3 linked regions of the Alligator mississippiensis genome follow. Each later gene encodes a partner of the first gene's protein in a complex. Links are inferred from orthologs where the notes say so. Each region holds a gene or a part of one and is shown on either strand. Other genes may lie near its edges.

The links. Proteins that work in one complex are often made in the same cells at the same time.
Region 2: VAMP2 (region 1) and STX8 share a complex: the UniProt entries of both Homo sapiens proteins name them as parts of the SNARE core complex. The link is inferred for Alligator mississippiensis from reciprocal best matches to the Homo sapiens genes VAMP2 and STX8.
Region 3: the proteins of VAMP2 (region 1) and CPLX1 are in contact, whole or in part, in a crystal structure (PDB 1KIL), measured with the Rattus norvegicus proteins. The link is inferred for Alligator mississippiensis from reciprocal best matches to the Homo sapiens genes VAMP2 and CPLX1. Residues at the interface, in NP_036795.1 of Rattus norvegicus: Arg47, Val50, Asp51, Leu54, Asp57, Gln58, Ser61, Asp64, Asp65, Asp68, Ala69, Gln76; in NP_074055.1 of Rattus norvegicus: Leu41, Arg48, Tyr52, Glu56, Arg59, Glu60, Met62, Arg63, Ile66, Arg67, Tyr70, Gly71, Ile72.

What each region holds. Positions count from the first base shown.
Region 1 is NC_081838.1:25,064,572-25,072,241, reverse strand, and holds VAMP2 (vesicle-associated membrane protein 2), read right to left. Parts: upstream 3,017-7,670; 5' UTR 3,002-3,016; coding exon 2,838-3,001; intron 2,373-2,837; coding exon 2,252-2,372; intron 2,146-2,251; coding exon 1,987-2,145; intron 1,862-1,986; coding exon 1,810-1,861; intron 1,393-1,809; coding exon 1,376-1,392; 3' UTR 423-1,375; downstream 1-422. Other genes in the region: AURKB (aurora kinase B), read right to left, coding at 3,502-3,666, 3,882-4,056, 4,144-4,292, 4,487-4,625, 4,733-4,924, 5,122-5,179, 5,271-5,388, 5,571-5,622 and 1 more. UniProt on the Homo sapiens protein: Involved in the targeting and/or fusion of transport vesicles to their target membrane. Major SNARE protein of synaptic vesicles which mediates fusion of synaptic vesicles to release neurotransmitters.
Region 2 is NC_081831.1:20,450,557-20,457,988, forward strand, and holds the start of STX8 (syntaxin-8), read left to right. Parts: upstream 1-4,427; 5' UTR 4,428-4,517; coding exon 4,518-4,534; intron 4,535-4,600; exon of another isoform or gene 4,601-4,991; intron 4,992-6,926; coding exon 6,927-7,026; intron 7,027-7,432. UniProt on the Homo sapiens protein: Vesicle trafficking protein that functions in the early secretory pathway, possibly by mediating retrograde transport from cis-Golgi membranes to the ER.
Region 3 is NC_081826.1:151,083,325-151,090,365, forward strand, and holds the start of CPLX1 (complexin-1), read left to right. Parts: upstream 1-4,036; 5' UTR 4,037-4,287; intron 4,288-4,859; exon of another isoform or gene 4,860-5,003; 5' UTR 5,004-5,081; coding exon 5,082-5,112; intron 5,113-7,041. UniProt on the Homo sapiens protein: Positively regulates a late step in exocytosis of various cytoplasmic vesicles, such as synaptic vesicles and other secretory vesicles.

The DNA of each region.
Region 1 (7,670 bases):
CTTGTACGCGCATGAGAGTCCCAGACGCCGGGGTTCTGTGTGCACAAAATCCCGCACACCTGGGTTCCATGTGAACGTGCGCAAGTCCCGCACACCTGCATTCCATGTATGCACATGTAAATCCTGGACACCTGGGAATCCTGGCTGCCTGGGTTCCGTGCGTGAGGGGCCCGGACGCCTGGGTTCCGTGCGTGAGGGGCCCGGACGCCTGGGTTCTCCAGGAGTTGAAGGGAGTCCAGATCAATTCAAAGGCTTCCCCCAAACCTAGGCAGAGGGCAGGGACCCCTTCCTGAGGCTGGAGCAGGCCCCAGCTGTAGTTGGAGGACAGTGATGGTGCTGCCAGGGTAGGCCCCAATGCTGCCACCTCTGGCTGAGGCAGCAGCATCCCCAGGTGGGCTGGACAGAGGGACCAGAGGCAGTGCTCTCCACAGGACACCAATTTATTGTACATTTTCACAGCATCACGTCGCTCCCGGCTCCTCCGCCCCTGCCTGCCTGCCTGCTGAGGGGGGCCCCAAGAGCAGGGGGGTGACAGTGACACCCACCCCCCTGCTGGGGGCCCAGCCCCCCTCTCCCCCTTTCCCTCCGCCTGCCCAGGGGGTCCCCAGTGCCACGTCCCTCCACGCAGCAGCGGCGGGGATGCCCCTGGGCTCAGCCCCCCCGGAGCGCGGGTCCAGCGAAGTCATCACAGGGACAAAGTCACGAGTCACATCTGACATCTGCTAGGGGGGGGGCACTCACCACCACAACACACGAAGGGGGGCAGGATTGGGGCACCCCCTGCTGGCCACCAGGGACCCTAGTGCCCCCTGACATTGGCCACCAAAGGATTAACAGGGGACCCCCCCAAGCCAGGCCAGCCCCCCAACACCGGGGGGGGGGGGTGGAATGTGACCCCTCTAAAAGGGGTAGTTTGGGCAGGCTAGATCTGTGTGGCAGGAAGAAAATGCCCCCATTAAGGGGGTGGGGTGCAGGGGGGGCTTCCCCCACGCCCCTTGGTCTAATCAGGAATGTCACAGAAGCTGGGGGGATGGGGAGGAGACCGCGGCCCGGCAGGAGATGCAGCCACCTCTGAGGTGGGACAAGGGGGGCAGTATCATGGAACCCCCTCCCCCACTAGGGGGGTGGCTGGGGGGGCGGGGCAATTAAAAGACAATTAAAAACACAGCAGGGGAGGGGAGGGACACCTAAAAACCTATTAATAAATCTACAAACGGACAAAATAGAGCAGCTCTATGTGTGTATAAATAACCCGGTATGTACAGACGGCCAGGGGGGGAGGGGGGGCGCGGAGGGGGCACACGCACACGCACGCACACGCACGAGGGCTGGAAGAGACGGCCGGGCCAGGCTGGGCCGGCACCACACGGGGCCTCTAGGTGCTGAAGTACACTGCAAGCAGAGGGCAGCCGTCAGCTCCACGGGGCAGGGCTGAGGTACATGCAGCTGGGTCTGGGGTGGGTCCTGGCTGAGTATAACAGGGCTGTGACCCAGGGTTGAGATGCAGCTGGCTCTGGGGCAAGTCATGGCTGAGTATGACAGCCCCTGACCCAGGGTTTGATGCAGCCGGCTCTGGGGTGGGTCCTGACTATGTATAAAAGGGCTGTGACTAAGGGTTGAGATGCAACTGGCTCTGGGGTGGGTCAGGCCGAGTATAACAGCCCCTGAGTCAAGGGTGAGATGCAGTCAGCTCTGAGGTGGGTCACAGCCAAGTATAACAGACCCTGGCCCAGGTCTGAGATGCAGCCAGCATTGGGGCCCCTGCCAGGGCTTCCTGGACCACCCCCCTCCTCCCCCAGCAGGACTCACCGATGATGATGATGAGGATGATGGCGCATATCACCCCCAGGATGATCATCATCTGCAGGAGAGAGACCGTGAGTGCAGCAGGAAGAAACGGGGCTGAGTCGGGAGTGAGGGGCACTGGCAGGGCTAGGGGGGCAGGGGGCTGCAAGTCAGGAGCGAGGGGCTGCAGCGGGGCCGTACCTTGAGGTTCTTCCACCAGTACTTGCGCTTGAGCTTGGCGGCGCTGGTCTCAAACTGGGAGGCGCCAGCCTGGAGAGCGTCCGCGCGGTCATCCAGCTCCGACAGCTTCTGGTCCCGCTCCAGCACTTTGTCCACGTTCACCCGCATGATGTCCACCACCTGCGGGGCCGGGCAGGGCGGAGGTGTCAGGCCTGGGGCTCCCTACCTCCCCCCCACACTGGACCCAGGTGTCCAGGTGCCGTCCCACCCCCAGCCTATGACTCACCTCATCCACCTGGGCCTGGGTCTGCTGCAGCCTCCGGTTACTGGTGAGGTTGGGGGGCGGCGGGGGCGGGCCCCCCCCTTCTCCGGCGGCAGGGGGGGCGGTGGCAGCAGCGGGGGCCGACCTGGGCAGGGGGGAGAGCTCAGGCCCTGGCCAAGGGGCCCACAGTGCCCCTCACCCCCGCCGCCCCCATGGGCCCTGCCCTGCGCCAACACTCAGAGTCCCTGCGCTGCCCGGGGCGGGGCGGGGTGGGGTGAGGGGGGGCCAGTCAGGGTGACCCCAGGCCCCTGGGCTGGGGGCCGCACTTGAACGAGGCCAGAGGGGCCCTGTGACACGGTGGGCCGAGCCCCTACAGCCCCTGGGGCACGAGGCCTGCGGTCCCATGGGGGCAAAGCCCGCGAGCCCCGGGTCCCTTTGGGGGCAGCGGCTGTGGGGGCTGGTGGGCGCAGCCCCCGTGGGGGTCGGGCCCCCTGGTCCCGAGCGCGGCACTGGCGTCACGGCCCCGCCCCCCCCGCTAGAAACACCCGGGGGGGCCGGACCCCGGGGCGACCCCCGCTCCCCTCCCCTCCCCCGGCCCGTTGGCGCTCACATGTCCGGCGGCGGGACGGGACGGGGCGGGGCGGGACGAGGCGGCGCGCTGGGCCGGGCCGGGCCGGGCGGGCGGTGCGGGGCCGGGGCCGGGGCCGGGCCCGGGTGCGGGGCGCGGGCTCGGTCGGTGCCGGAGCGAAGATGGCGGCTGCTCTGCGCGCACATCCGGGCACCGCGGGGGGGCGGGGGCCATGGCAACAGCCCCACTGCGGGGGGGTAGTAGGGCCATGGCAACAGCCCCCGGGGCAGGGAACGGGGCGACCATGGCAGCAGGCCCGCAACGAGGGTCCCTGATGGAAACTACAGCACCAGCCCCGAGGAGCAGCAGCAGCAGCAGCAGCAGGGGGAAGTCATTGCAACAGCCCCTGGAAGGGCATGTCCCCCCTCCCCCGCAGGCTCCTTCCCTCCACCCCAGGGGCCTGCGAGGGGGGATCTTGCCCCCCCCCCCCAGCAGGACTGCGCCCCCGGGCCATGCAGGTGCACACACGTGTGCTAGCAGTGTGCCCACCCAGGGGCCCCACCCCGTGCCCCATGCCCCCCCAGAAAAACAGCACCTGAACCCAGCTGTAAAAATCAAGACTTTTATTAAACACAAAAAGATGACAACATGGGGGGGAGCCCCAGCCCACGGGGGTAGGACCAGGCCCCCACAGGGGAGCAGGGGGCTAGGGGGCATAGGCAGGGGGGAGCACGCGGCGGGAGTTGGCCCGCACCCAGGGGTGCTCGAGCACAGCGCGCAGAGGCAGGCGCTCAGCCGGGACGTGCCGCAGCAGCTTGCCAATGAGGTCGCGGGCACCCTCGGGCATGGTAGGCGGGAAGCGCAGGTCCACCTGTGGGAACACACATGGGGCCGGTGTCACCTGCGCGTAGCGCCCCACCCCCAGCGCAGGGGTGCAGCTGGTTCTGGGGTGCGGGACACACACGGCCCCGGTCCCCAGCACCAATGCTGCCACCCCGGGGGTTGGGCATAAAGCTTGCCCCCTCTACACATCCCTGCTGCCACGATGCAGCCAGCTCTGGGTGGGACACGTGGGGGCTGGCCGACCTTGGTGATGCGGCGGTAGGTCTCAGTGTGGGAGGCACTCTCGAAGGGCGGGTGCCCAACCAGCAGCTCGTAGCACAGCACGCCGGCGCACCACAGGTCCACCTTCTCGTTGTGCGGCTGCCCCTCAATCATCTCAGGCGGCAGGTAATCCAGTGTCCCACACATAGTCTTGCGCCTACGGGGGCAAGAAGGGGCTGTGAAAGCCTGGTTTTGGGGAGCCCCAGCCCACCCCCTGCGCTGCCCCCGCCCCCCTGGCACTGACCGCAGCGAGGGCGCATGGACCGACCAGCCGAAGTCAGCGATCTTGAGCTCGCCCTTGAGGCCCAGCAGCAGGTTCTCAGGCTTGATGTCGCGGTGGATCACCTTCTTGGCATGGCAGTAGATCAGCGCGTCTGCCAGCTCCTCCATGATCTGGGGGGGGGGTAAAGGGAGGGGGGGGTCACATAAGGCCCCCCGACCCTAGGGGGTCAGGCTAGCCTGCACCCCAGCCCCCCAAAATTACCTACTCCCCTCCTGGGGAGACCCCCCCCAGCCTCCTCGGTGCCTGCCATTGCCCAGAGCCAACCCGGCCTGCAGCAGGAGGGTGCCCCCACCCCCCGGCTGACCGTGGCACTGCGCTGCTCATCAAAGCGGCGGCACTTCTGCAGCTCCTTGTAGAGCTCGCCGCGTGGCGCGTACTCCAGGATCAGGTACACGCGGCGCCGGTCGTGGAAGTAGTTGTAGAGCCGCAAGATGTTGGGGTGCCTGGTGGGATAAAGAAATAAAGTGAGGAGGAGGTGAGACCACCCCCACCCCTCGCACCCTAGATGGAGCAGGGGACAACGGGGTGGCGCAGTCCCGTTGTGGCGCACCGGAGGTGGGCCTGGATCTCGATCTCGCGGCGCAGCTGGTGCTCCACACCCTCCTTCTCCATCTGCGACTTGAAGAGCACCTTGAGGGCTACGAGGAAATGCGACCCCTTCTCCCGCGCCAGGTACACGTTGCCAAACTTGCCCTTGCCCAGCGGGCGCCCGATCTCGAAGTCCTCAATGCTCAGCGTCTTTCTGGGGGGGAAGCAAGTGTGTGTCTGGGGGGGGGGTACAGCACCCCTCACACCCTAACACAGCCAGGGGCTTCCCAAGGGGGCATCAGCCTCCAGGACTGGTTCAAGGGGCAGTGCCACAGGGGCATCTGCCCCTCCCAGTGGAAGTGGGGGAGAATCCCAGCCCAACATACCCCCCACCCCAACATGGGCACTTACAGGGGGGGCTGCGGAGCGACCTGGGCGCCAGCCTCGACGGGCACCCGCCCGGGCACAGCTGCAGAGAGCAGAGTCAGTGCAACCCCAGCCGACCCCTACCCCCCCACCCCCCCAGCATGTGTGCACCCCCCACCTCGCCCCACCAGCACCTGCGAGGAGGGGGGGCCCAGCGGGTCGTGGCCCCGTCTTGCCTGTGGCGCGCTGGGCCAGCAGGGCCTCGGCGGGTGTCTCCTTGCGCGGCACACGCTGGGGGCCAGGCGCACCATACTGTGAGGGGGACACGGGGGGGGGGGGTGAGGTGGAGATGCCCCCCAGCCCCCTCCCCAGAGCCCCCCGCTCACCGCCGGGGCAGGAGCAACACGGGGCCCCAAATCGCAGCAGGATCCGCCAGCCCCGGAGGGAGCAGGGCCGTGACCCCCCAAAAGGGCAGAGACCCCCCAGGTGCTCACCTTGGCCAGGCTGCCCAGGGCCCCGGGGTTCACGTTCTCCTTGTGGGCCATCCTGGGGGGCGGGGGGCGTCAGTTCCATGGGGCCCCTCCGTCCCCCGCCCGGCGGAGTCAGGAGACCCCCCCCCGTGCGCCCGCATCACCCGCCCCGCGGGCCGGGCGTATCTTGTCCCCCCAACCCGGACCCCGATGCCAGCGCCAGGAGCAGCCCCGTCCCCTCCGCACGCCGCTCCTGCCCCGCGGCCCCTCATTACGCCCCCAGTACCTCCGCGTTCCCCTACCCACGGCTGCTGCTGCCGCCTCGCGCTTCAAATCCGCCCCGCCCCGCGCTCCCATTGGCTGCGACGGCCGCCGGGTCCTGGCCCTAGCCTGCGGCTCCCGCCGTTTCATTGGCCGCGCGCTCCCTCCGCCCTTCCCCCTTGGAGGCCGAGCCCTTTGCCGCCTGTGCTCCCATTGGCTCCTGCGGGAGGTGGCGGCTTCGGATTGGCGGCGCGGCGAGGTAGAAGTCCCGCCTCCCTCCGGGCGGAATCAGGCGCGCGCAAAAGAACTGGAGGGGCGGAACCTGGTGCGGGTTGGCCGAGCTGCCCGTCAATCCGAGCGGGGCGGGGGCGGAACTCGTCACGGGAGCTGGTCTGCCTGGTAACGGCGGAGAGGAGGCAGGGGGCGGGTGTTGAGTTGAGCTCAGCCAACGGCGGGCCGGGAGCTGGCGCCGCCAGCCAATCAGAGACGGGGCGAGGTGACTCCGCGTGCGAGGGTGCCGAAGCCGCTTAGCAGAATTGCCCTTTCGCAGAAAAGCGGCATTGACCGTTGCGGCGTAGCGGGGCGCGTTCTTCGGCTGGGTTTGTTTGGGGGCCGCTCGGGCACTCAGGTCCCCGAGTCCCTGCCCCCCGCCCCCGAAAACCCGGGTGCCCGCCCCCTGGACTGTGAGGGCCCCTGGGGGCGTCTGGCTCCAGCCAGGGGAGCCCCCCTCCCCGGTGCCGGGATGGCGCAGGAGGGGCTGCAGGGCCCTTTATGGGACCGGGAGACTCCCCCTCCTTGCTCCTGCAGCCGCACAGCCAGGGCAGGCGAAGCTCGGGGCAGCCGAGGCCTCGGGCTGGGCCCGCGGGGCGCCGGCCGTCGCAGGGTTTGGAAGCCTCTGAAGGCGCGGCGGGGCGGGGGGACACGGGACGCTTGCCGGTAGCAGGGCCACGTGTGGTCCTTGCGTGATTCGAATGGATTTGGGCCTGATCGGGCTAATTTGACCCGGGACACGAAAAAACCTCCTTAAAAATCAAGAAGAAATCCAGTGCTCGGGCCGGCGGAGGTTGCCGCGGCGCGGGGCGGGCGGGCGTTTTGCGCTCTGCGGTGCGAGTGAAGGTCTGTGATGGCAGGTGACTAGGTGGAGGTGCGAATAACTCTTACTTTTACGCATATACTAGCCAATTGCCTGTCAAGAATGACGGGGGTGGAGGGACAGGCGGGGACAGCCCTCCCCCCGACCTGCTCCTGCTTCCCTTCTGCTGCTTGGGTCTTGCCTGCTCCCCTCCCCACCACGGTGGGCCCGGGCCGCTCCCACACCCCGCATTACCTGCAGGGAGCGGGGGGACGGGACCCTGCCGGCCTCGCCCCCCACCCCCCTCCGTCCAGGCCGAGGGCTGCCTTCTGTGAGAATGTTTCTTTGCACTCTGATTGGCTGTTTGTCAGCCAATCAGAGCACAAATAAAGTGTTACAGGCAGGCAGACAGACAGACTTAGGCTTTTATAATATTTGAATAAAAACATACTTTTCTAAAAAAAAATTGTTTTAAATCCACCGCTTAGGCTCCACTCTCATGGGTCTTGCTGCCTTGCGGAGAGGCTGTGCAGCCACATGCACTGCTCCCATGAGGAGAAGCACTGCTCTGCTCTCCAGCCTGGATTCGTCCCAGCTGCTTTTACTTGCCCTTTCTTCTGCCGACCTTGCCATTTCCTTCCAGGGGCCGATCCCACCCTCCTCCCCAGCCCTGGGCTCCTGTGTTCCAGGGATGTGTATGGGCCACAGTTGTGCCCCATGAATGGAGCCTGCGAGCTGTCCCACTGCCCCGCCATGGGGTCGGCTCTGCCCCTGCCCAGCCTGGCAGCCCT
Region 2 (7,432 bases), on another chromosome or scaffold:
TGCTGCTTAGCCAGTCGGTCCCCAGCCTGTACTGGTGCATGGGATTGTTCTGTTTTAAGTGCAGGACTTTGCACTTATCCTTGTTGAACCTCATGAGATTCCTTTTGGCCCAATCCTCCAATTTGTCTAGGTCACTCTGAATCCTAGCCCCACCCTCAGCATATCTACTAATCCCCCCAGCTTGGTGTCATCAGCAAACTTGCTGAGGGTGCACTCTATACTATCTTCCAGGTCGTTGATGAAGATGTTGAACCAAACAGGCCCCAGGACCAACCCCTGGGGCACTCCACTTGATACCAGCTGCCAACAAGACATTGAGCCATTGATTACTACTCTCTGAGCCCAATGCTCCAGCCGATTTCTATCTACCTTACAGTCCATTCATCTAGCCCATACCTCCTTAGCTTGCCTGTGAGAATGTTGTGGAAGACCGTATCAAAAGTCTTGCTAAAATCAAAGTACACCACATCTACTGTTCCCCCACATCCACAGAGCCAGTCATTTCATCATAGGAGGCAATCAGGTTGGTCAGGCATGAGTTGCCCCTGGTGAATCCATGCTGACTGTTCCTAATCACCTTCTCCTCCAAGTGCTTAGAAATGGGTTCCTTGAGGATCTGCTCCATGATTTTTTCCAGGGACTGAGATGAGGCTGACTGGTCTGTAGTTCCCTGGATCCTCCTTTTTCCTTTTCTTGAACATGGGCACCATGTTTGCCCTTTTCCAATCATCCAGAACCTCTAAATTCCCTCCATTAAGAGCTGATTTTAAGATCAGCATATGGTATCCATGCCAACAGTTCACAAATGTTATGAACTGCCAGCCCAATGTCACCCTCAACATTTCTCCTGGACCCACGCGACACTTTATAGTCAAGCATGTCAGTGGAAAAGAGTAGAAGGGCCCAGTAAAATCTGCAGACAGCACTGTGTAAACCAGTGAAACAGGCCATCTAAGGGAAAGACTGTAACAGTGGTTTACACAGTGCGGTCTGAATAGAGGGGAATAATCACTTGTGTCTTGTTTTAGGGAAAGGCTGTCCAACTGGCAGCCCACAGACCACATGCAGCCCATTAGGGATTAACATGCAGCCCCTGGACTCCCACCTGGCTGCTACTGTCCCCAGCACTGGCTGAAGCAGCAACTGGGGTCTCAGGCTCCCGCTCCCTCTTCCGCTTCCACTTCCACCAAGGGGATAGGGTCAGGTAATACAGCCAGCCCATGATGCCAGGAGAGCTGGTGGTCCAGAGTGCCCATGTGGAACAATGCAGCATGGGAGGTTGTGGCCAGGGAGCTGAAGGTGAGGTGCAGTACCACATGCAGTGCAGCAGGGAGGCACCTGCCTGCATGTCTGCACATGGTGTGCAGCTTGGGCCCATGGCCTCAGCACCCATGTGGCCTCTGCAGCATGTGGCCTCTGCCGGTGCATCCTATAGGGCATGTAGCTCCCAGCTGCCCCTAGAAGATGGACAGGCCTGGATTAGAGTAACAACATACCTCTGTAGCCCCCAGTTTGAACACCTTGGATGCATCATTAATAACCTTCAACCCCTCCTGGAAAATGATGACCACCTCATCACTGACCTCAGAGCAGCTGTTCTTAAACAGCAAAACTTTAAAGATGAACTGGAATGGGAACTAGTAGAACAAGACATCATTCACGGACTAGATTGTGTTAAGCATGGTCTGAACAAGAATTATGGAATTTATCCCAATTCTTGGATTAGCTTTTGTGACCCCTTTGTCTTTATGGGTTTATAGCTTGTTTGCCTCTCCCACTCTCCCAGCACTGCTTCCCTGCCTCCCCACCCCCCTTTGTATTCAAATTAATTTCTCCATTTGGTAGGCTGCTCCATGCATTTCACAGCATCTGATGAAGTGAGCTTGGGGTACAGGAAAGCTTATGCTACAGATCTCTGTAACCTACCCTGCCTTCTGCCTGACTTCACATTAACATAGCTAACTACTCTCATCTTAGGGTAGCCATGGGGGACCAACCTGTCCTGGCTTCCAGACAGCTCCCCAACCTCAAATGGTGTCTTTCAAGCAACAGATTACTTAAGCTCTACTCTGAGGCACCAGTCTTTTCAGCAGACACAGATTCAAACTCTGCACCCTCATCAATGCATATCACATCATCACTGGACCAAATAATATGGATTATAACATCCAAGGTTCATTCAGCTGCACCTCTATCAATGTCATTACCTAGCTACAGTGCCTCTCTACTGTCTACATTGGACAGACAGGGCAATTCCTACATAAAAGAATGAGGGAACACTGATTTGATATCAAGTCCAAAAATACACAAAAGCCTTTGGTAGAACACTTTAACCTTTCTGTACCTTATGTCCCTGACTCATCTTCATGCATCTCTTGCTTATGAAAGCTTATACATCTCTGATTCACTTGGTCTATAAGGTGCACCTTTACCCTGCCATTTTCATGTTTTGCCCAGAGTCCTACCTAGTCCCATCAACGTGCTTCACAGCTTCTAATAACTACCTTACACAAAGGGCAGCTCTTTCATTCCCCAGGTTTCAATAATATTGAATTCAAACTATAATACTGGTATTATAATAGCATTCATAAGCTCAAAAAGCATCTCAGTTCCATAGGGGCTTGTACAGAGCCAGCAGTAAGAGAGACCCATTGGCTTGAACAAATTTTAATTTAACAAAAAGTAATGTTTGTCTGTTACATAGTAGCTATGTAAATTCAAAGGCAAAATTGACATAAATGTATTTGTCCTACAAATGCTAAGGGCAAGAATCAGGTGACACATTATCTTCCATACAGAAGGATCACCGAGTTTATTAGGAACATTTACATGGAATTAAAAATAATTTGGTGAAAACAATTGTATTAAACAAATAAACATTCCTTTGTAATGTTTGCAACCCAAACACTGTAGCATTATGCAAGCACATGGTGCACAAACACCAATTTCCATCCGTGGTTGTCCATAAATTTGCATCATTATGCAAATCTCTGTATTTAAGATTGGAACCCTGTGCCCTTTGCAGACTTAAAACAATTCAGATTGTAAATGGGGCTGCTGCCTAACGAGGCGTATTGCTGACAACACTGCCCTCTGCGCCAGTAGCCTAACAGAGGGGACACAACCAGGGCAGCAGCCCTGGGGAACTGCCTTTGCAACTGGTTGCGCTGCCCCATGCAGAGCCGCTGCCCTGTTTTATGTTTTCAGTCTGCTCTGATACTGGATTGAATTCCACCTTGAAACCTCTTTCCTGATATTCAAGGCCGTCATCAGACTGACCCTGATGTACCAATTCCCCCTCTGCAGGCTGAGCATTGCTACCTGTAAACATTCAAAAACCATGTCATGTCCTATCCCCCTCACCACATTGATTCAAGAACAGTAAATATTTTTTAAAATTCAAAACTCTTGACTTGCCTTCCAGTTTCTAAGCCCTTCTAGGCCTGCTGGCAAACCTTCCTCTATAGCCGCAAAGGCTGGGAACGTCTGGTTTTAAACGAAAGCTGAAACTCCTGCTTACTCCCAAGACTCCAGGAGCGGGGGCTTGAGGAAAACAGGCACAAGAGCCTATGTCAAGGAAAGCTTAAGTGCAATAAAGCTGATCTCTGGGCAGGCCTTTTTGACACCTTTTAATCACATGGGCCCAGGTCGCCAAGTTTCTCATTGGCCTCCCTCAGGCAAGGAGGCTACAGGAAAAGGGGACGTTTTGGGACAAATAATAAAAAAACAGCAATAGATGTGCTGGTCAGCTTATCTGTCCACCTTTAAAAAATGTGTGGGCCCAGCCCACCAAGTCACTCATTGGCTTCCCTTAGGCGTGGAGGCCACAGGAGAAGGGGACGACAGATTTCTTGGGACCAATAATAAAAAGCAGGGATGGGAGCATGGTCAGAGGTTGAAAACAAGCGTGTGGAGCAGGGACACTGAGCTGAGCACACCGGACAGCCACCGCTGGCCCTCAAATGAGTCTGAGAAGCCAGTGACACTGCCCAGTGATACTCTGCTCAGAGATGGGAGCACACTAGGGCAAGGGTAAGCAGCCCCGCAGTCCCCCAGCACCCTCCTTCCCCCATCAGACACAGCAGCGGGCCAGAGCCAGGAGGAGGTTGACCAGGAGGTGGGGGCCAGGGATGGGCAGCATGTGAATGAAGCAGTTTGGGGACTGGCCAGCTAGGACCTCTGCATAGGGCCGTGCAGGGGACTGGGCTGGATGAACCCTGAGAAGAAAACCAGTCCACCCAGGTACAGGGCAAAGCTCCGCACGAGGCAGCGCGGCTTAGACACTGAGAAGCCAAAATGGTGCAGCAAACCAGCGGTGCAGCCCCACGTGCCTTGCACGTGGCACCGGGGTGCGCATGCGCGGCTGCCTGGCTGTGCGCAGTGTGGGAAGGAACGTGGGCGGGGCGACGCGGACGGCCGCTCTTCGCTTTCCGTGGTTTGAGCTTCTGCGCTCGCCGTAGTCAGCTGATGCGACCCGGAAGTGTCCAGTGGCGGCGCTGAGGGGCTCGGGCGCGGGGATGGCTCCAGACCCCTGGTGAGCGGCGCCCGCCGAGGGGAGCGGCTGCTCGTCGGCCCCGGCTGCGGAGGGGCTGCTGTCTGTCTCGGGCGCAGGGCACTACTGCGGAGGCGAGCGCGGCCAGGGGCTTCCCCTGCAGCCGCCGCGGGCAGCGCGAGGCCGAGCCCCCAGGGCCGCTTAGCGGCGCGTGGGGCTGCGAAGGGGAAGGCGAAGCCCCCGACCCCCTCTCCTCCCTGCCCCCGCGGCCCCTCGTAGGCGAAGCGGAGTCCTCCGCGCACCCTCGGCCCCCCCGAGCGAAGGAAGGATGCAGCCCCTGAGGGGCAGGGGCTTCCTAGAGACGCACGTGGGTGGCCGAGGCGGAGGTCAGGGTTAGGTGCTGCTCTCGTGCCAAGCACTTACGCAGCCCGTGGGTCTGAAGCGGTTTCCAACTGTGACCCCCGTTTGCCTCTCGGAGATGTGTGCGTTTGAAATCCAGGCGACCCCCACTTAACGCTGTTTCGCCTAGCGCTGTTTCACTATAACACTCATTTAAAATTGATCCCTGATTTCACTTGGCGCTCAGTGAGTTTCATTACAACGCTTGCGGTTGCTGTCTTGGGTCATTAAAAACACTGTCTCAGATAGTCATATACTCTCGGTTTAGTTTAACGCTCTGTTTCTCGGGAACCAAATTAAGAGCACTAAGTGGGGGTTGCCCGCACCTGCTTCCATCCTGGATAGAGGTTCCCAAACTGGTAGGTGGACCCCTGAGGGGACGCAGGACGTCTCTGGGGGTATGGGGGAGAAACTGTGTAATGGCAGATTTAATTTTCGGTATAATTGGCGTTTAAGGGGTTGAAAATGTAAAATGTTGATAAATCTGGAAGGGGACACACAATAAGCAAGTTTGGGAACCTCTGCTGGAGAGAAGTAGCTGTTACCTCTGTTTTATTCCCGGCCACGTTAAGTTTTCCTGTTTTGGTTATCCGAAGTCTCATGCACCGTCCATTGCTGGTCCTTATCCTGGTTAAGGAACTTATTGAGGAATCTTGTTAAGACTGACGTACCTTTGGCATTGTGCTCAGTCTTACGAGCTATTTATAATTGGCCAGTTTGTCCATTGGAAAGTACTGATATTACCAGTGTGTAGAAAAGAAACAACATAAACCAGGACAGAAACATTTGAGATTAAATTAAATTAACTACAAAGTTGCCTTGAGTAATTCCCCTTCATGCTTAATCCTTTTGGCTTGCCCCATCCTCCTTTTCTCTTTCCCCCTTCACTTCACTTCCAAGGTAGGGTTTGATGCCTCCTTCATGTGATTGTTAGATACAAAATGCATCCTATCTGAGACAGTGGGCTAGGTCTACATGGAAATCATTTCTTAAGTGTTGTTGTTTTCTTCTTAGCTCTGCTGATTTAACAGTAAAAGGTCCACTAGTTAGTCCTAGTGGATCACACTTATGTTAAGATTATGCTGTAATAGGAAAAATGTAACTCAAAAGCTGTTATTAGTGATATATAATAACTTAAAATTGTTTTCTGTGATTATTAAAAAATGCAAGCTAGTACTGTAAATAAAAACCAGATACCACAATTACTTTGTCTGATATCTTTTGATTTACTTCTGAGCCATCACCAGGCTGGTTGTAAATAGTCTAAGGAAGAATGGGAATTTTTGTGTGTACCTGGTATAATGGGAGCTGCCCTTGACTTTACTATAGGAAAGTCTCTTCAGGAATATGTGTCCCTCTACAAGATGCTCCAATTTGATTTAAACAAAGATTATTGCCAATCTTTGTTGCTCTCATTCTTCTTAGAAGTGGCTAAGGGGGTTCTTGGTTGAGCACTTTTGAGGTCTCTGATTAGAGTTAGCCACAAGTTGCACCACACATCAGAGGACCAGAAATGTAATGCTGGTTTAAAGCAGGGGTCTCAAACATGTGCCCATAGGTAGGATCCAGCCCACTGGGCTGCTTGTGGGCACCTGGAAGTTGTAGGGAATGGCCTGAGAGAGTGGCCTGCCTCAGAATCTGGGGCCCTTGGGCCCCAGTAGACATAACAATTGGTGGCAGAAAAGCAAGTGAGGGCTGATACAGCCCTGGCTGCCCTCTGCCTGCCTCACCCATGACCCTAACTCCTCATCTGCTGGCTCCAGCACTTCCCCATACTGTGGCTACTCCAGTGATTCTGAAAGTTGGCAGTGACATTTTCAACAAATGTTACTACCGATGCCTTTAATTTTAGAAGTGAAACTACTTTGTGTTTGGCTCCTTTGTTTTTAGTATCTCAAACCTTAAAAATTTTCTGAAAAGGAAAATCTACCCAAAGCCCAGTCTTGACCAACAGAAGAGAGATTGAAACCAGGAACTCTGGCAGTGGTTGTCACTTGGAGAACTTTTCTTAAACTTAGATCTTTTTTACTTTTAGGCTGTCGATGTATGATTCCACTTGTCAAATTGCACAAGAGGTTGCTGAAAAGATCCAGGAACGTAACCGTTGTCAAAGAAATGGGGAAAGTTCATCAAAGGTACCATATCTTCATGAAAGACGTAAAGTTTGTGAATTTTTCTTTCAGCTTAAATTTTATATTTCATTATAAATGAATGCAGTGTTAAAACTTTAGCTTTGTTCAGCATAGTTTCAGGAAGTTAAAGCTTGCTATGGCAGATTCATTATCTTAAATTCAAGATTGAATGTAAAATTGTAAGATATGTTTTAGCTAAATAAAGTAACTCAATGCAGAGGTAACCGAATGAAGTTCTATGACTTGGATTTTGCAGAAGGTCATATTAGAGACCTAATGGTTTATCTGGCTTTCAAATATATGAAGCTTAAGCAATGTTGCAATAACTATTTCATTATAATAGGCATGTAATTTTAAAAAAAGTTTAAGTTTTATACAATGAAAATCAGAATAGAGCTTCTACTTACCT
Region 3 (7,041 bases), on another chromosome or scaffold:
CCCGTACTGTGAAAAATGTCTTCCTAATATCTAACCTAAATCCACTCTCAACTAATTTACACCCGTTATTCCTAGTCACTCCCTGGGGCACCTTAGTAAACAGCGCTTCCTCTATTCCCCACTGACCTCCCCTAATAAATTTACAGGCAGCCACAAGATCTCTCCTCAGCCGTCTCTTGTGAAGGGTGAAGAGATTCAGCTCTCTCAACCCCCCCCCCAGTAGGGTTTATCACGAAGGCCACTAATCATGTGAGTGGTCCTCCTCTTGACCCTCTCCAGATTCCCCGTGTCCCTCTTGAAGTGCGGTGTCCAAAACTGGACACAGTACTCCAACTGCGGCCTGACCAGTGCCACATAGAGGGGGGGTATCACCTCCTTTGTTCTATTAGTCATGCACCTGCTAATTCACGACAAGGTGCGATTGGCCTTGTTTATTGCTCTCATTACACTGCCGGCTCATGTTCATCTTGGAGTCAATTATGACTCCAAGATCCCTCTCTGCCTCTGAGCTGCTGAGAAGGACACTCCCCAACCTATAGGTGTGCTGGGGGTTCCTCATTCCCACATGGAGTACCTTACATTTATCTTCATTAAATTGCATCCTATTTCTCTCTGCCCATTGATCCAACCTGTCCAGGTCAGCCTGAATCTGCTGCCTGCCCTCCGGTGTACTAACTTTGCCCCATAACTTGGTATCATCAGCGAACTTGGAGAGGGTGCTCTCCACGCCCTCATCCAAATCGCTGATGAAGGTATTGAATAATATCTGTCTGAGGACCAAACCCTGCGGGACCCCACTGCCCACCTCCCTCCAGGCCAAGAAGGAACCATCCACCACCACTCTCTGGGTGCGGTCCCTAAGCCAGTTGGCCACCCACCTGACCGTGTAGGCATCCACTCCGCATTCTGCTAGCTTCCCAATGAGGATAGGGTGCGAAACTGTGTCAAAGGCCTTCCTAAAGTCCAGGAAGATGACATCAGCCTCAGCTCCCACATCCAGGCAGTGTGTGACCTGGTCATAGAAGGCTGCAAGTCTTGTCAGGTAGGATCTACCTGTGACAAACCTGTGCTGGTTTCCCCTCAGCATCGTTTCCCCTGCTGGGCCTGCACAAATGTGTTCTTTGATTATTTGCTCTAGCATTTTCCCAGGAATAGAGGTAAGACTGATTGGTCTAAAGTTACCTGGCTCATCCCTTCTCCCTTTCTTGAAAATGGGCACCACATTGGCCCTTCTCCAGTCCTCAGGGACCTGGCCGGAGCACCATGAGTGCTCGAACAGCTGTGCCAGCGGCTCAGCTATGACACTGGCCAATTCTTTTAGCAGCTGTGGATGGAGGTCGTCCAGGCCTGCTGACTTGTACCCATCCAGCTCCTCCAGGAGCTCCTTAACTATTTCAGAACTAACCGTAGGCAGACTGGTGCCATGTGGACATCCATCAATGATTGAGGTGGGGGAACTGACTTGGTCGGTACATAGAAATACTAAAGTGAATAACTCATTGAAGAGCTCTGCTTTTTTCCCCATGTCAACCACCAACTGTCCTGATTTGTCTTGCAGGGGCCCTATGTTGCTGCCATCAGTTGAGAGGTGCCAGACAAGTGAAAGTCTGACTTTACACTCCAGCATCAGAGGGTGCACAAGATAGTGAGTCTCTCCTGAACACTAGCAATAAGGAATAGCCCATCTCCAGGTCAGACAAGTGCTACTTTTTTTCTCTCCAGGAGCTTTAGCGCATGATCAGGGCAGTAGCAGCACAACATGTTGGTGTTTTGAAAAGACGAAAGTTAAGAGAAACTTGATTCACTCCCCCCCCCCCCCCCCACACACACACACATACATTTTGATACTTAGCAGGAAAAGTTGGAGAATAACATGACACATCACACATATATGATTAGGCTGGCTTCTGGAGGCCCTGCATGTGGCAGCGGCCTCATTTGCTGTAGATACCTAGTAGGAGACAGTTCTTCTATGAAGATCTTGTACTCCAAATAGTTGCAGACAGATTGTTAGAAGAAAATGAAGCCACAGAGATGGAAATGATTTGTACTTCCCAGCAGGGAAAATTACCCAGTACTGAGCTTGGTGCTGCTGTGGCTAAGCTGTAGCCAGTACTCACTAAGCTGTAGCTAGTACTTGGGTATGCTTCTAGCACTGTCTTCAGTGTAGGCATCTGCAGTGAAAGGCCTGGAAGATAATCTGATATTCTGAGTCTTCGTCTAGCACCTTATCCACTGCATAATGGACAAAATCCTGATCACTTCTTCAAAAATAAGGATTGACACGTTTGAGACAGCAAGGGCACCTCTCAGAATAATGGAACCTAAGAATAGCATTAGAAGGGCTGTATCTTTTCTTGCTTCCCCTTGTCTCCCACTCACCTTCTGTCATCTGGGTCTTATGAGCACATTAATGTGTTCTCTTGGAACTCCATGAGAGAGAGAGATGTTCTTTTATGTTCGAAGTGCCTTTTCTCTGCAGTGATAAAGCTTCCACTGTGGTTTGCACGGTGTGGGGCAGGAATATGTCTTTCTTTGTGAAGATGCATTAAATGAAACATTCTCAAGTACAAAAAAAGAAAGGATGTAGAGGCAAGTTCACATCTTGTACCAGCAAGGACAATGGCACTTAGATCTACCATGCTATATAGCCTCAAAAAGTGTTTTAAGTAAGTATAATTATTCCCACTTTACATGTGTGAACACTAAGGTACAGAGAAAAGAAGTGACTTGCCCCAGATCACGTTTGCCAGAACCAGGAATAGAAACCAGGTTTCCTGAGTTCTTAGGCAAGTGTTCAGTCCTCCAAGTTACCCTGCCTTTTTCTTTTCTCTCATGACTTCAGTGATGTTAGGATCAGAGCACATCTGCACTGAGAATACTGGCAATTGCTGTCAGCTGCCCCACCTCCATCTTGCAGCAGCAGATGGTGGGTAGGATGCTGCTTTCATCTCTCCTCCCCGTCTAGCATGTCCCAAGAGGCTCCAAGGAGGGATCAAAGCTCTGCTGTGCGGGGTGCTGTACAAACAGCACAGAAAGGTGGTCACCACCCCAAAGCTCTTGCAGTCTGCTTTTGAGGCTCGGTCATGTTGGACACTACATAGATGGAGGCCTAGGAATGTTAGTTGTCTTGTAGCAGGGATAACCCTCCTCTTGGTCCTGTGCTGAAGTCACTGAGGTCCTGCCTGAGAGACACAGGGCGCACCAAGCACGCAGCCCGTGCAGGCCTGATGGGAGACCAGGCCTGAAAAAGCACCGATGTCAGACAAGAAATTTAAGGCAGGAAAACGTGCTTGCATGACAGAGCTGCTAAACAGCTCTTCTCTGGCATGCTCTCCGTGTACCCGCCAGATGGTGGCAGCTTTTCTAGTAGCCCAGTCGTTCTGAAGCTTTCTAGAGTCTGGGCACCCCCAGGAACTTGTGCCAACTGAGTGGCTCATCAGTTCAAAAGCCCGTGATGTGTGTCTGACGGCGCTTGCCTCTTGCAGAGGGGCCAGGCAGTGGGTGGAGGGGGGTGGTCCTCGCCTGCCCTTGCACTCGCTGCAGGCACCTTCAGGGGGTCTCAGGCACCCCAGGGCACCCCCTCCCCTCCACTCCCCATCAGTACATCGCCAGAGCGCCACCGCCACCCTTGGCGAGCCCAGCCCTGCCTGTAGCCCTGGAGAGGCCGCAAAGCCCTGGTGCTCTGGGCACCTTGCTCCGGTTTCACCGAGACCAGCGTGTGGCCCCGGCTGGGCGGCCCGCAGCCCTGCAGCGTCTTTGACCTTGAGGGGCGCCGCGAGGCCGCGGGCTCCCTCAGGGCGCGGGGCTGCAGCCCCTGGGCGCCGCGCACCCACCGGGACTGGCGCGGAAAGCCCCGGCCCCGGCCCGCACGCAGGAGGCGCGGGCAGGCCCCGCCGCATGCAGCAGCCTCCCCCGGCTCCGCTTTGGGGCGGGGCGGGGCGGGGCGGCGCGGGGCGGGCGGCGGCCGAGGGCGAAGCAGCAGCATCAGGGGGAGGCGGCGGCGGAGGAAGGAGGGCCGGCGGCGGCAGCGGCGGCGGCGGTGGGATGGTCCGGAAACCCCGTGATAAAAAGAGGCAGCGGGGAGAGCGGGAAGCGCCGGAATCGTCCTCCCCGCGCTGCGCACGCTGCAGGCGCCCGCGCCCCGGCTCCATGTGACTGCCCCGCACCACCGCATGGACCCGGCCCGCGGCAGCGGCGGACGCTGAGCGGCTCGGCCGGGACAGCACAGCACAGCGCAGCGCAGCGCGGCGCAGCGGCTCCGCGCCGGCCGCAGCGGCAAGGAAGGTACCTCCAGGGCCCGGGCGGGCGCGGGGAGCTGTCCAGCCCCGGGTGCTGGCGGCGGGCGGTGCCCGCGAGACGGCGCTTCAAAGTGCGGCCGCTCGGGCGCGGGCTGCGGTGCGGGCTCGCGGGGGTCCTGCTCCGGGGGGCGCGGGCTGAGGGAGGGTCCCGCTTCCCGCGCTGCCCTCGGCCCGCGGGGGCGCTCGCTGGCCGCCCTCCCTCTGCCCGGCCGGCTGGGGCTCGGGGCCGGGGCGCGGCGCGGCGCGGGGGCCCGAGCGCCTCACCTTGAAATGCCCCCTCGGCTCCGCTGCGGAAACGCGGGAGCGGTGCAGGGTTAACCCTTGCCCGGCCGGCCGCGTCCCGGCGGTGCCCCGCGGCGCGAGCAGGCTGTGCGGGCAGCGCCGCGGGGCTCCCCTGTCCCGTGGCCCGCGGCTCCCACCACGACCTCGTTCACCTTGACTAGCACCTGGCTCCTGCGTGCGGGACTCCCGCCCAGCCGGAGCCTCCCCACCTCACTGCAGAGCTGGGGGGCGGTGCTACCCAACGGAGCAAAACTTGAGCCGGCAGCTGAGCTGCCCTGGAAGACGAGGACAGCAAGCCGCTAGAAAGGCCACCCAGGGCAGCACAGAGAGAGACACAGAGAGATGCTGTCTGCCTGCCGGTCCCAAAGACAGACCCCCGTCTCTTTTGTTTTGTTTTCTTGTCTTGCCCATTCCTTGTAGGTGACCACCCCGGGACTTGGTTCTGTTCATCTTGCATGTGAGATCTGAACTGGAGCGGAGGAATCTAAAGCCATCACCATGGATTTTGTCATGAAACAAGCTTTAGGAGGTAAGCCTAGTTTTGTGCATGTCATGCAGCAGATCTGATAAGGGCTTGGGTTCTCTCTGTCACTTCGTCGCTGTCCCCTCACTTTTTCACGTGCGTCTGCAGCACACCCGGGTAGGAATTTTCCCCTTTAAAATCACATGGGAGAATTCACTGGAGAACCCCAAATGCAGTGCCACTGAGCAGATGAAGCAATATTGCATTGCCACAACTTATTTTCTTTTGAATGCGTCCTGCAAATGTCTTCACAATATACCAAACATTCTGGCACTCATACATCTGGCAAAGCAGCAAGGAGTACGTTTACTGCTTTGAACTCCAGGGGGCAGCAGGAAGTGGAGTACCATAGGACCTGGTTCAAGTCAATGGGAATTTTTCCACTGACTTCAATAGACTTTGAATTGGGTCCATAATCCATATGGCCCTGGGTGCCCCAGGCAAGCAGACACATTTTAATCTCTAGCAGCTGGTCACCCATACATATTGTTGCTCACAATAGTATGCTGCCTTCAACGACTATGATTGTTTCAACCTGGTGTGCTAGTTATAGATCTGCTTGCTATTAGCAGATTTTACATATCTAGAGTAAGGCCAAACTAAGTGGCAAAATTCAATATGTGAGATCTCACCCTGAATTCTATTACAGGCATGAAGCTCTGTTCAAATTTTGACTTAAAGTCAAATAGTGCAGATATTTCAAACTGCGCACAAGACTAGTCAGGTTTCTAGGACTACTGCAACAGAGAGATCCACTGATCTGAGCCAAAGACCTTTCTCCAAAGGTGTGCTGTTAGAGCCTGATCTTTAACATTGCATAAACACAGCTCCTATTGCATGTAATAAACCTGTCTAATTATACAATGCAAACAACAAAATGAAATAAAAGCACTCATGATATTAATAAAGGAATTCCCTCATTCTGTTGGCATTATGCTGCCTCTGTGACCCATTCTGATTCAGCAGAAATGCCACAAGTCGCATATTTGATATTGCTGGCTGTATGTTAGGTTCATGGGATATTAAGGCCTAATTGGAGGCCAGTGGTACAATTTAGATTTATTCATTTTGTTTCTTATCTGTTCTTTTTTACTTTAGATAAATTATAGTGTCATCAGACCTACTGCAGTTATTTTGTACTTGTTATTGATATCATTTGCTGTTTAAACTGATGATAGATTTTTACCACAAGTCGCTTTTCGTTCTAAGAATATTCCGTATTTACCTATAAAATGCAATAAAGAAGCCATTTTAGATTGAAAAAATAGAGCAATAAAATGCCTGACTCTGCATTGAGGGTAAAAAGGTTACATTTTAATTTCTTTTTCTTCACTTTAATTTCTTATGGGTTTCACCTGCCGGTTAGGTAGACTATACCTAAGCACATAGTTGATACCAGGGACTTGCATGTTGCTTACCAGTGTGTTGCCATATTTAATTTAAAATTCAATGCACACTTTAAAAGGGAAATAATTTTACTGAGTTCTGCTACGCTTACTCAAGCTGAATAGTATCAGTAGTATCCCATTGAAATTAATGGGATTACTCACAGAATGCAGTACTCAGCAGTGCATTTATGGGTGGGAGAATCAGACTTGTTGGACCACTTACACTGATTAAAGGTGGCATAATTTTTCCCTTGCTGGAGGAAGGAGAATATACAGAAGAAAAAATATGAAATGTTTTATGATGTGGAATTGTACTTAATACATAACAATTAAGGTGCACAGCCGTAACTCTGGATTTGAAATTACTTAGAAGGAAGTGATTGCCCATGGAATAGCTAAGGATCAAAGTCCAGCCTGGCATCAATCCCAACAAAATGCCATGTGCCAATCTCAATATTTGCATTATGATGTTAGCATTTAAAAAAGCAGTATTTTACGATTGTCGGCTGTCTGTGGTTTTGACATTTTTGAGGTGTCAAGGACATAC